Sus scrofa: one gene and its partners. The protein of the gene in region 2 purifies or fractionates together with the protein of the main gene of each other region. This does not show direct contact. Links are inferred from orthologs where the notes say so. Each region holds a gene or a part of one and is shown on either strand. Other genes may lie near its edges. The genes, in order: PLCG2, LYN and ANKRD54.

The links.
Region 1: the proteins of LYN (region 2) and PLCG2 purify together in Homo sapiens (affinity purification with western blotting; 3 studies listed by BioGRID, with this or other methods). This does not show direct contact. The link is inferred for Sus scrofa from reciprocal best matches to the Homo sapiens genes LYN and PLCG2.
Region 3: the proteins of LYN (region 2) and ANKRD54 purify together in Homo sapiens (affinity purification with mass spectrometry; 3 studies listed by BioGRID and IntAct, with this or other methods). This does not show direct contact. The link is inferred for Sus scrofa from reciprocal best matches to the Homo sapiens genes LYN and ANKRD54.

Annotation. Positions count from the first base shown.
Region 1 is NC_010448.4:6,435,786-6,439,162, reverse strand, and holds part of PLCG2 (1-phosphatidylinositol 4,5-bisphosphate phosphodiesterase gamma-2), read left to right. Parts: intron 1-918; coding exon 919-1,103; intron 1,104-1,715; coding exon 1,716-1,758; 3' UTR 1,759-3,377. UniProt on the Homo sapiens protein: The production of the second messenger molecules diacylglycerol (DAG) and inositol 1,4,5-trisphosphate (IP3) is mediated by activated phosphatidylinositol-specific phospholipase C enzymes. It is a crucial enzyme in transmembrane signaling.
Region 2 is NC_010446.5:75,839,062-75,842,715, forward strand, and holds part of LYN (tyrosine-protein kinase Lyn), read right to left. Parts: intron 3,412-3,654; coding exon 3,262-3,411; intron 1,462-3,261; coding exon 1,309-1,461; intron 1-1,308. UniProt on the Homo sapiens protein: Non-receptor tyrosine-protein kinase that transmits signals from cell surface receptors and plays an important role in the regulation of innate and adaptive immune responses, hematopoiesis, responses to growth factors and cytokines, integrin signaling, but also responses to DNA damage and genotoxic agents.
Region 3 is NC_010447.5:10,016,010-10,018,355, forward strand, and holds the end of ANKRD54 (ankyrin repeat domain-containing protein 54), read left to right. Parts: coding exon 1-100; intron 101-280; coding exon 281-388; intron 389-637; coding exon 638-712; 3' UTR 713-1,731; downstream 1,732-2,346. UniProt on the Homo sapiens protein: Plays an important role in regulating intracellular signaling events associated with erythroid terminal differentiation.

The DNA of each region.
Region 1 (3,377 bases), on a different chromosome or scaffold from region 2:
TAATATTTTGCTAAATATTATATTTTGGTTTAGACAACCTCAGGGTTTACGAGTAGGGCATGTTTCAGTCATGGCTGGATCCAGGTGCTCTCCCAGTGGCTCTATTTCTTTCTCTATATGAATGACAACACAGGGACCAGTAGCAGCAGGAAACATTCGTCACTCTTTCTGCCAACCCCCAAGAGAAGCAACTGTCTTTTTACCAAGAACACCAACCCAAGCCCTGTGGATACTATCTACCTGGAGATAGGTGTGGCAGGGGAGTAGGTGGTTACTATCAGCTAGAACTGAGTCACATGCCCATCTCTAGGGCATAACCTATGTGACGTTGGCTCTTTTGACCAGAGGAGAATGAGGGTAGTATTTGTTGAGATATAATTCATCTGCTGTACATTTCACCCATTTAAAGCATACAATCCAGTGGTTCTTAAGTCTATTCACAGAGGTGTAATCATCACTATGACCAATTCTGGAACATTTTCATCACTCCCAAAAGAAACTCCTGCTCCTTAGCTGTCTCCACTCCCTCCACCCTCAGGCTGCTGTCCCCTCACCTGCTGTGTGCCACTGGAAGCACACAGCCTTTGCATTTGCATGAGAGCCACAGGAGACAGACCCATGAGAAACCAGATTTAATGAAGAAATAGGATCAGACAGCAGTGCATTTGTTTTTTCAGTGTTTCATAATAAAGTTACCCCTTCCTGTGCACCAGAATTTCTTAAACTGCTTGCTTCCAATGGACTAAATCATGGTGAGCGTATCTTTGGTTAAAATTGGCCCTGGCTTTTCTGGGAAAATCCCAGCAGATGAGCAGATGCGCCCCAGGCTCCCTGCACTCACACCCGCCCGGGGCTGCCGCCCACGCTGCAGTTTTAAGAGACCAGCCCCACATGGTTGTTTTGCCCTTTCTCCTCCAGGAGAGTGAGGAGGAGCTCTACGCCTCCTGCCGCCAGCTGCGGAGGCGCCAGGAGGAGCTCAACAACCAGCTCTTTCTGTACGACACACACCAGAACTTGCGCAACGCCAACCGGGATGCCCTCGTCCGAGAGTTCAACGTCAACGAGAACCAGCTGCAGCTCTACCAGGAGAAGTGCAACCGCAGGTGGGTCAGCCCCACCCCACGGGTCCCCTGGCCAGGGCTCTGGGAAAGCCTCCGTCTTTAGACCGCCTCTGGCACCCTGGACTCTTCGTCCCTTTGCTTCGTAAATTACGTAGAGTCACATCTTAAGCAGCTGCACTTTGCCTGAGTTGAACTGTCCTCGGGAGAATGGCATTTCCATCTACCAGGGAGAGCCAGCCACGGCCACGACCCTTTAAGGAGCTTTGCTTGAGATCCCAAGCATGGGCTGGTCCAGGACTCCCCACCCCCCTCCCCAACGGGGATGCTTCTGATCGGGCTGCAGGCACACAAGGAGGGCCAGCCAGGATGCCACGCTGCCCTGGCCTACAAAGAACTCTCCCCAAGAAAATGCCCTGGAAACAGCGTGGAGCCTCCTTACCCATGTTATTCTCATTGCCTCTTTCTACACCTCCAGAGTAGCAGCGCCCAGTGAGCAAACAGATTCAGAAAGGGTACAGTGCCGGGGGCCCACCTCTCCGACTCTGCCCTGTGCCCTCCAGCCCTGAATGTCCCTCAGCTGTGTGGCCGGAGAAACGCTGGCCTTCAGCCCTTGGCCCCTGTCTGAGACTAACAGTGAAATCTGCTTGCCCGCAGGTTGAGAGAGAAGAGGGTCAGCAACAGCAAGTTTTACTCCTAGAAGCCGCGGTGCGTGCGCGCACGGGCGCGTTCACACGTGGGAGCATGTGTGTGCCCGGGACGGGCTCATCTGGGACGTCATCCTCCCCTCAAGCCTGTCACCCAGACGACCTGTCCGAAGAAGACCCAGCTGGCATGAATTGGGCGATTTCCTGCTAGTTTTTTCATCTCGGACAAATCTCTTAACTTAGAGTCTCTTTAGAGGATGCCCAAAACGTGCTCGCTCGTGTTTGGCCTCGCGTGTTCCAAAGTCACTGAATAAAAAAGCATGAAAAATCTCGATCAGTTAAAGCTTCTGTGCACGACCTGCAGAGTGAGCAGGACTCCTTCTCGGGCCTCTAACGACCCAGGTAATCGACTTCCTCAGAAGATGAGCCCCGGTGTGTAAGGAACTCATTCATTAGCTTCCGGAAAGGATTCTCACTAAAAGGCAAAGGATCTGACAATTAAGGCCATCGGATTTCACCAGGGCCCAGAGGAGCCCTCGCCCTGCCCCTGTCAAAGCACTTTACCTACCACCGGCTGACTAGCCGGCTGGACAGACCCGCGCTGTGCCTGAGAGGGGCTGGGGGTGAAACCTGTTCATTAAGATGGAGACTTGCTTTGTGACTGGAGCGAGTGGGGGTCAAGGGTAGAAGTCTTGGGGCCTCTTTGAATACAAAGCCCATCAGCGATCAGAGCCCCTAAAGGTCAGCCAGCTTCCTCTCACCCCTGCTCTGTCCACACAAGAGCTGGCTGCACAGCCACCAGCCGGCTCGGGGGCGGGGGGGTGGGGGGCAGTTCTCCTCAGACAGGGGGTCACTGACTGATTAAACGAGGTGAGGCAGGTTAAGGCTCTCTGGCTTATCCAGTTTCCTGGAGCAGCGAGCAAAGCCTTAGCAAACTACAGAAGAAATCGCCGCAGCAGCCCCCACCCAAGGGGCAGGCCCACCTAAGCCAAGATTCAGTTCCTCTGCCTCGTGAGATGCAACTGAATGACTTGTGCAGAGGGATGATTTAACAAGGCTTTTTAAAGGCGAGGATAGGGTGGGGTGTGGGGGCAGGGGAAGGGGCAGGAGAGCCACCACTTGGTCAGAGTGGATGGAGAAACGACTTGGGAGAAAAAAAGTAACTATGAGGAAAAAGCCATCATGTTGGGAAAGAACAAGGTAGCCGTGAGCCTGGTGGCCTTCCCTGGACAGGCCTGTGTCCTAGAAACCCATTCAGCCCGCCCCTTGTTAGCCTGGGCTTGGCGTGCATGAGTTGCGAAGGGTACCTTCAAACCGGCCACGCGCTGTTTGATCTCAAAACCCCACCCCTTCGTTCTGCACAGGTTATTCAAGTATTTCCATACACCAAGCTCTATGCCAAAGTCCAGGGCTACAATGTCTAAAGGAAAACCAAGGAAAAATAAGAGCCAGGGTTCCTGGTCTCATGGAAGCTATCCATTAGCTTATAAAAGAAATGCACTGTATCTTCCACGGAGCCGGGAGTATACCTAACAGCAGCCTGACCACGGTAGGGCTGTAATGACTTTGTTATTCCTTGTCGAGTTGCTGTTTTATATCTGGCACTTGGCAACTGACGGAAGATATTCCTGATGGTAGCAAAGAAGGATTAGATGGACAAAAAAAAAAAAGG
Region 2 (3,654 bases):
TTGCTGATTTCTACGACAGTATTATTAAAATATAATTCCTATACTATATTATTGTCTCCCTTGAAGTATATAATCCATTGGCTTTTCTATATTTATATTTGTGGGACCATCCCTGCCATCAATAACTGGAGTGTTTTCATGGCCCCCAAGGAAACCCCATACCCATTAACAGTCCCATCCTGCTCCCCCTTCTGCTAAAGCAGCGGCAACAGGAGAGGATGGGCAAAGCTGTGATGCCAGGGGCTGAGATTTTAGAGGGCAAACCTCTCTCACAGACCCCTGGCTGGGGACATGACACGACCACGAGGAGGCAGAGGCTGAAGAGCCTAGTTTGTGCTCTGCTGGGGCCAAACAGTTTCCAAAAGCCATTTACCCTTTCTCTTTAGAAATCACGACTGTTCTCACTCACGCAAAGCTGGCGTGGAGACTGTGATCCAAGAAAAAGAGCTGTTAGAAATTCTTATTCCAGGGGTTTCCATTGTAGATCAGTGGGTTAAGAACCCGATATTGTCTCTGTGAGGATGTGGGTTCGATCCCTGGCCTTGCTTAGTGGCTTAAGGATCTGGTGTTGCCATAGTCTATGGCGTAGGTTGCAGATATGCTCGGATCCAGCTTTGCTGTGGCTGTGGTGTAGACCTGCAGCTCCCCTTGGACCCCTGGCCCGGAAACTTCCATATGCCGAAGTGCAGCTGGAAAAAGAAAAAAAAAAAAATCTTATTACAAAGGGAAAGGAATTCACGTTCACTATAAAAAAAACCTTAGAAAAGACAGGTGGGTAAAAAGAATTCCCTGGGGGAAGCCACTGCTGGAATTTCGGTGAACTTCTTGCCAGCCTGAGATGGCAGCATTTAATAATAAGGAATGCTTCACTGATGATGGAACTTTGAGCATCTTGAGAAAGTTTCTTGGTGAGAAACCACAGTATATGTGAGGCTCTCTCTTCAGCTCCCTAGTAAGGATGGTCCTAGCCCAGGGCCACCCTTCCCTGAAATGCAAGCATGTTCCGGTACTTATTTCACGGGTGTATCCAGAGAGTCTGGTGATGAGAGAATCGTGGAAGAGAAGACAGAACCACCAGCATAAATGCCACTGCCCACTTCCTGATAAACATTCCTCCTGAAAGAGAGTTACCAAGTCACAGGAAGAGGTAGAATCTAATCTCGTGGGTGTTGTAGGTGAGTCCTTGGCACCAGGTGGACAAAAGGAAACAAAAGTAGCCATACTTCTGAGAAAACGGACAGAAACGGCTGGAGTTCTTGCGTCTCCCACCATCACCTCCAGAGGGGACTCTGTCTCCCACACACTCACCCATCCAGACTTCCCCGAACTGCCCAGCGCCGAGCCTCTTCACCAGCTTAATGGACTCCCGGGGGATCTCCCACGCATCTTTGTCCCATGGCTTCTGTGGTTTGGGGCTAATGCACGCCTTCTCCAATCTTCTGCACAAGCCATCCGACTGCTCTGATTTGAAGGAGAGAGTAAACGCGGAAAAGGTGATCCTTTGCATTTTACCAGCATCTGCAGAGACGTCTGGACGATCCATCTTATCATTTCCAACCCGCCAAAGTCTACAAACCTAAAATACTCAAGGGGGTATCTTCTGTGTAATAACATAACATTTGAAATTCTTTTTTTTTTTTTTTTTTTTTTTTTGTCTTTTTGCTATTTCTTTGGGCTGCTCCCTCGGCATATGGAGGTTCCCAGGCTAGGGGTCGAATCAGCTGTAGCTGCCGGCCTACGCCAGAGCCACAGCAATGCAGGATCCAAGCCGCATCTGTAACCTACACCACAGTTCACGGCAATGCTGGATCGTTAACCCACTGAGCAAGGGCAGGGACCGAACCCACAACCACATGGTTCCTAGTTGGATTCGTTAACCACTGCGCCACAATGGGAACTCCACATTTGAAATTCTTAAGTGAAAGACAATTTAAGACAGACTGGATTGTATTCACCAGGAATGCTAATCTATAAAAATTAAAAGCAGAATGAACAGATAAATAAAGACAGACAGGTGGTCACACTTAATAAAAGTATCATCACCGAGCTCATGTAAGCTCTTCAGGGCACAATGCTGGGGACTTGGTTGTGTCACCAGGAGACCCTAGCTCCACAAAAGGGCCAGGGCTCCACAAGCACTCAACGCACGGGGCTGATGAACAGAGGGTGGGGGTAACGGGGGGCGGGGGCACCAAATCCGGGGCACTTGCTCTCTCCATACTGTGGGACCTAGGCAAATTTTATCAGGCGTGTTCCCTTAGAGCAGGTGGAAGAAATAAGCAGTAACAACAGCTGCCCATCACAGCCAAACTCAAACCTAAAGGCTGGTTGTGGGTTCATCAGAGCAGTGCTGGAGAGCAGTCTGGAATTGGAGCTGATGGGCCACTTCTAAATAATTTGGTGTTTGGGGGTTATTTCTGTTTTCTGTGACCAGGAGTATCTATTACTTTTACACACACGTACACATATATACACTAAGACACATCCACAAATCGGCATTCCTAGTCTAGACATTTAAAGATGCGTTGTAAAAAAGTATGTACGATGCCAAGATAATATTCATTACTTTCTTTGTAATTCTGGAACAGCAGCTGTTAAAACAGCACAAATCAATGGGAAGGTCTGTGATAATTATTCATAAAGACCCAAGCTGACCCTGAATGTATACTTATAGTTTCATTTAGAACCAATTATAATCCTCCAGCTTTATCCAGAAGAAATATGACACATACAAAAAAAATTTTTTTTTCCTTTTTTTTTTTTTTTTGGTTTTTTAGGGCCACACTCGAGGCATACAGAGGTTCCCGGGCTAGGGGTCAAATCGGAGCTGTAGCCGCTGGCCTACACTGCAGCCACAGCCACATCTGTGACCTACACCACAGCTCGTGGCAATGCCAGATCCTCAACCCACTGGGTGAGGCCAGGGAGTGAACCTGTGTCCTCATGGATACTAGTCGGATTTGTTTCCGCTGAGCCATGATGGGACCTCCCAAAATTGTATTTAACATAGTATTTGAAGTCCTAGCCACAGCAATCAGACAAGAAAAACAAATAAAAGGTACCCAAATTGGAAAGGAAGATATAAAACTGTCACTATTTGCAGATGACCTGATACTATACATAGAAAATCCTACAGACTACCAGAAGCCTAGTAATCAATGAATTCAGTAAAGTGGCAAGATACAAAAAATTGCAATATAAAAAAGTATTGGACACCATATAGTTATAGCTTTTCCTGTCTGACCTTGTGTTGTCACTTACTTTGGTAATACTTAATCATGTCACTGATACAAGGAAAAGTGATTCGTGGGGAGATGTAATAACCCCCATTGTCCAGGCTTCTGATTTTGTAGTGCTTAATAACATCTCCATGCACCGGGTCGTAATCTCTGACCGACAGAGAGTAACTTCCTGAGGGGGAAGAAGCACAGCAATGATTACACTGATGTTCTGTAAGTATGATAAGCATTATACACACCATGGTAAACCCTTTTTTGCTTCCTTTTTTTTTTTGCATTTTAGGGCCCCACTCTCAGCATATGGAGGTTCCCAAGCTAGGGGTCAAATCAGAGCTGTAGCTGCCATCCTACACCACAGCCACAGCAATGCAGGATCCAAGCCTCGTCTTCGACCTACACCACAGCTCACGGCAAC
Region 3 (2,346 bases), on a different chromosome or scaffold from region 2:
GGCTGGCCGCACGCCCCTGCACCTGGCTAAGTCAAAGCTCAGCATCCTGCAGGAAGGCCATTCCCATTGCCTCGAGGCTGTGCGGCTGGAGGTGAAGCAGGTGAGCACCTCTCTCAGCTGAGATCAGCACGGAGCGAGCCCTGGACAGGTGCTGCCTGAACCCCCACGGGGCCCCTGGGTGACTTCCCACAGACCCCAGCTGGCACCTGTGCCTCTGTGCCCCTCGGCAGCAGCCTCTCTGCGCCTCCTCGTACACGCTCAGGCCACCCTCTCGTTCCAGATCATCCAGATGCTGCGGGAGTACCTGGAGCGCCTGGGGCGGCATGAGCAGCGCGAGCGGCTGGACGACCTCTGCACCCGCCTCCAGATGACAAGCACCAAGGAGCAGGTGAGCCGCAGCTGCAGGCCCCGACCCAGGGCCTCGCGGGAGCCGCGGGGCCAGCACCCTCCCCCCGCTCTGAGGGCTGCGGGCCGCGAAGCATCTGTCTGCTGCCTTTGAGGCTGCTCGAGAGCTGTTCCTTAGTCACCGTGAAGCCACCACAGGCCCTGGGAAGACAGACAGCACCGGCCCTCCATGCCTGTGGAGCTGTGGGGGAGGCTCGGGGACACCCCGTAACAGCCTCGGTGTCGCCCTCAGGTGGATGAAGTGACCGACCTCCTGGCCAGCTTCACCTCCCTCAGCCTGCAGATGCAGGACATGGAGAAGAGGTAGCGAGAGGCTCCCCGCCTTCCCGCTCCGCCGCCACCCCACTGCCCCCGCGCTCTCATCACAGAGGAAAAGCCCGGTGCCTCGCCCCCCAGCTGCTGCAGATGCTCCCCCACCGACCTCGGAGCCACTCCCCGCCGGGGTCTGTAGCGTCTCTGTGGGCCGGGACCACAGCCCCGGCTTCCTCCTTCGGCTCCCTCGGCACCGCAGCCACACCTCGGCTCTGACCAACATGCGATGTCCTAGCAGGCCCCCCCTCGCCTCCCTGGCACCCCCAGCCCACCCCAGACCCTTCCCTGTGTCCCCTGGTTGCAGCCAGCAAGATTGGGCTTCGGGCAGGCACCCTGTGGCCTAGGGGGCCTCTCGGCCGGCCCCGTACTTCTCACCAGCACTTAGATTTAGACTGGCCAGCCGACTTGCGAGGAGACGTGGCAGTGAGTTGGAAGGGGAGGGCTGGTGGGGCCTAGACCTTAGAGATACGAGGCCAGCAAGGACCCGACTGAACCCAAAGCAGAAAACCCCCAGCCCTTTTTCTCCCAATCACTGAAACCCCAGAAGGGCGTAGCCATTCTGCAGCCTCGTTGTAGCAGGCTGAGGAGTGGCCCCCAGAATGGCCATGTTTGAATCCCAAGAAGCTGTGGACATTACCTTCGATGACAAAAGGGACTTTGCAGATGTAATTAAGGGTCTTCAGACAAGGTGACTGTCCTGGATTGTCTAGGCGGGCCTGATATAATCACAGGATCCTTATTAGAGGGAAGCGGATCAGTGAGGAGATACGGTGATGGCGACAGAGGTGATGGTGACAGAAGCAAGAAGTTGGATTAATGCGATGAAGAAGGGGTCACAGGCCAAGAAATGCAGGCAGCCTCCAGATGCTGGAAGAGGCAAGAAGATGGCTTCTTCCTTCAGAACTTCCAGAAGGAACCAGCCTGCTGACACCTTGACTTTAGCCCAGTTAGACAGATTTAGTCTGACTACCAGAACTGTAAGAGAATAAATTTGTGTTGTTTCAAGCCACTAAATTTCTAGTAATTTGTTGCAGTAGTAACAGGAAACTAACATGCTAGTGAAGGCTCAAAAATTCACTGTAGGAGTTCCCTGGTGGTATAGTGGGTTAAGGGTCTGGCATTGTCACTGCTGTGGCTCAGGTCACTGCTGTGGTGCAAGTTCAGTCTTTGGCCTAGGGACTTCTGCATGCTGCTGGCACGGCCAAGAAAAAAAATCCAAACACACACGAACTCACTGCAAAGGAGCCCCCCCAATCCGCAAAGGAAAAGACCTTCCCCTTGGGGCTCAGACAAGCAAAAGGCAGCGCCCCCAGAGGTCCACCACAGTGGGAAGCCTGAAGGGAAGGCCCACCAGGGCCAGCCCTCTCCGAGGAAGCATTTGACTATAGTAAAGACAGACTGTCCAGGAGTTCCCTTTGTGGCTCAGTGGTTAATGAACCCAACTAGGAACCATGAGGATTCGAGTTCAAGCCCTGGCCTCGCTCCGTGGCTTAAGGATCTGGTGTTGCCATGAGCTGTGGTGTAGGTTGCAGACATGGTTCGGATCCCTAGTTGCTGTGGCTGTAGGCTGGCAGCTGTAGCACCCATCTGACCCCTAGCCTGGGAACTTCCACATGCCACTGGATGGGG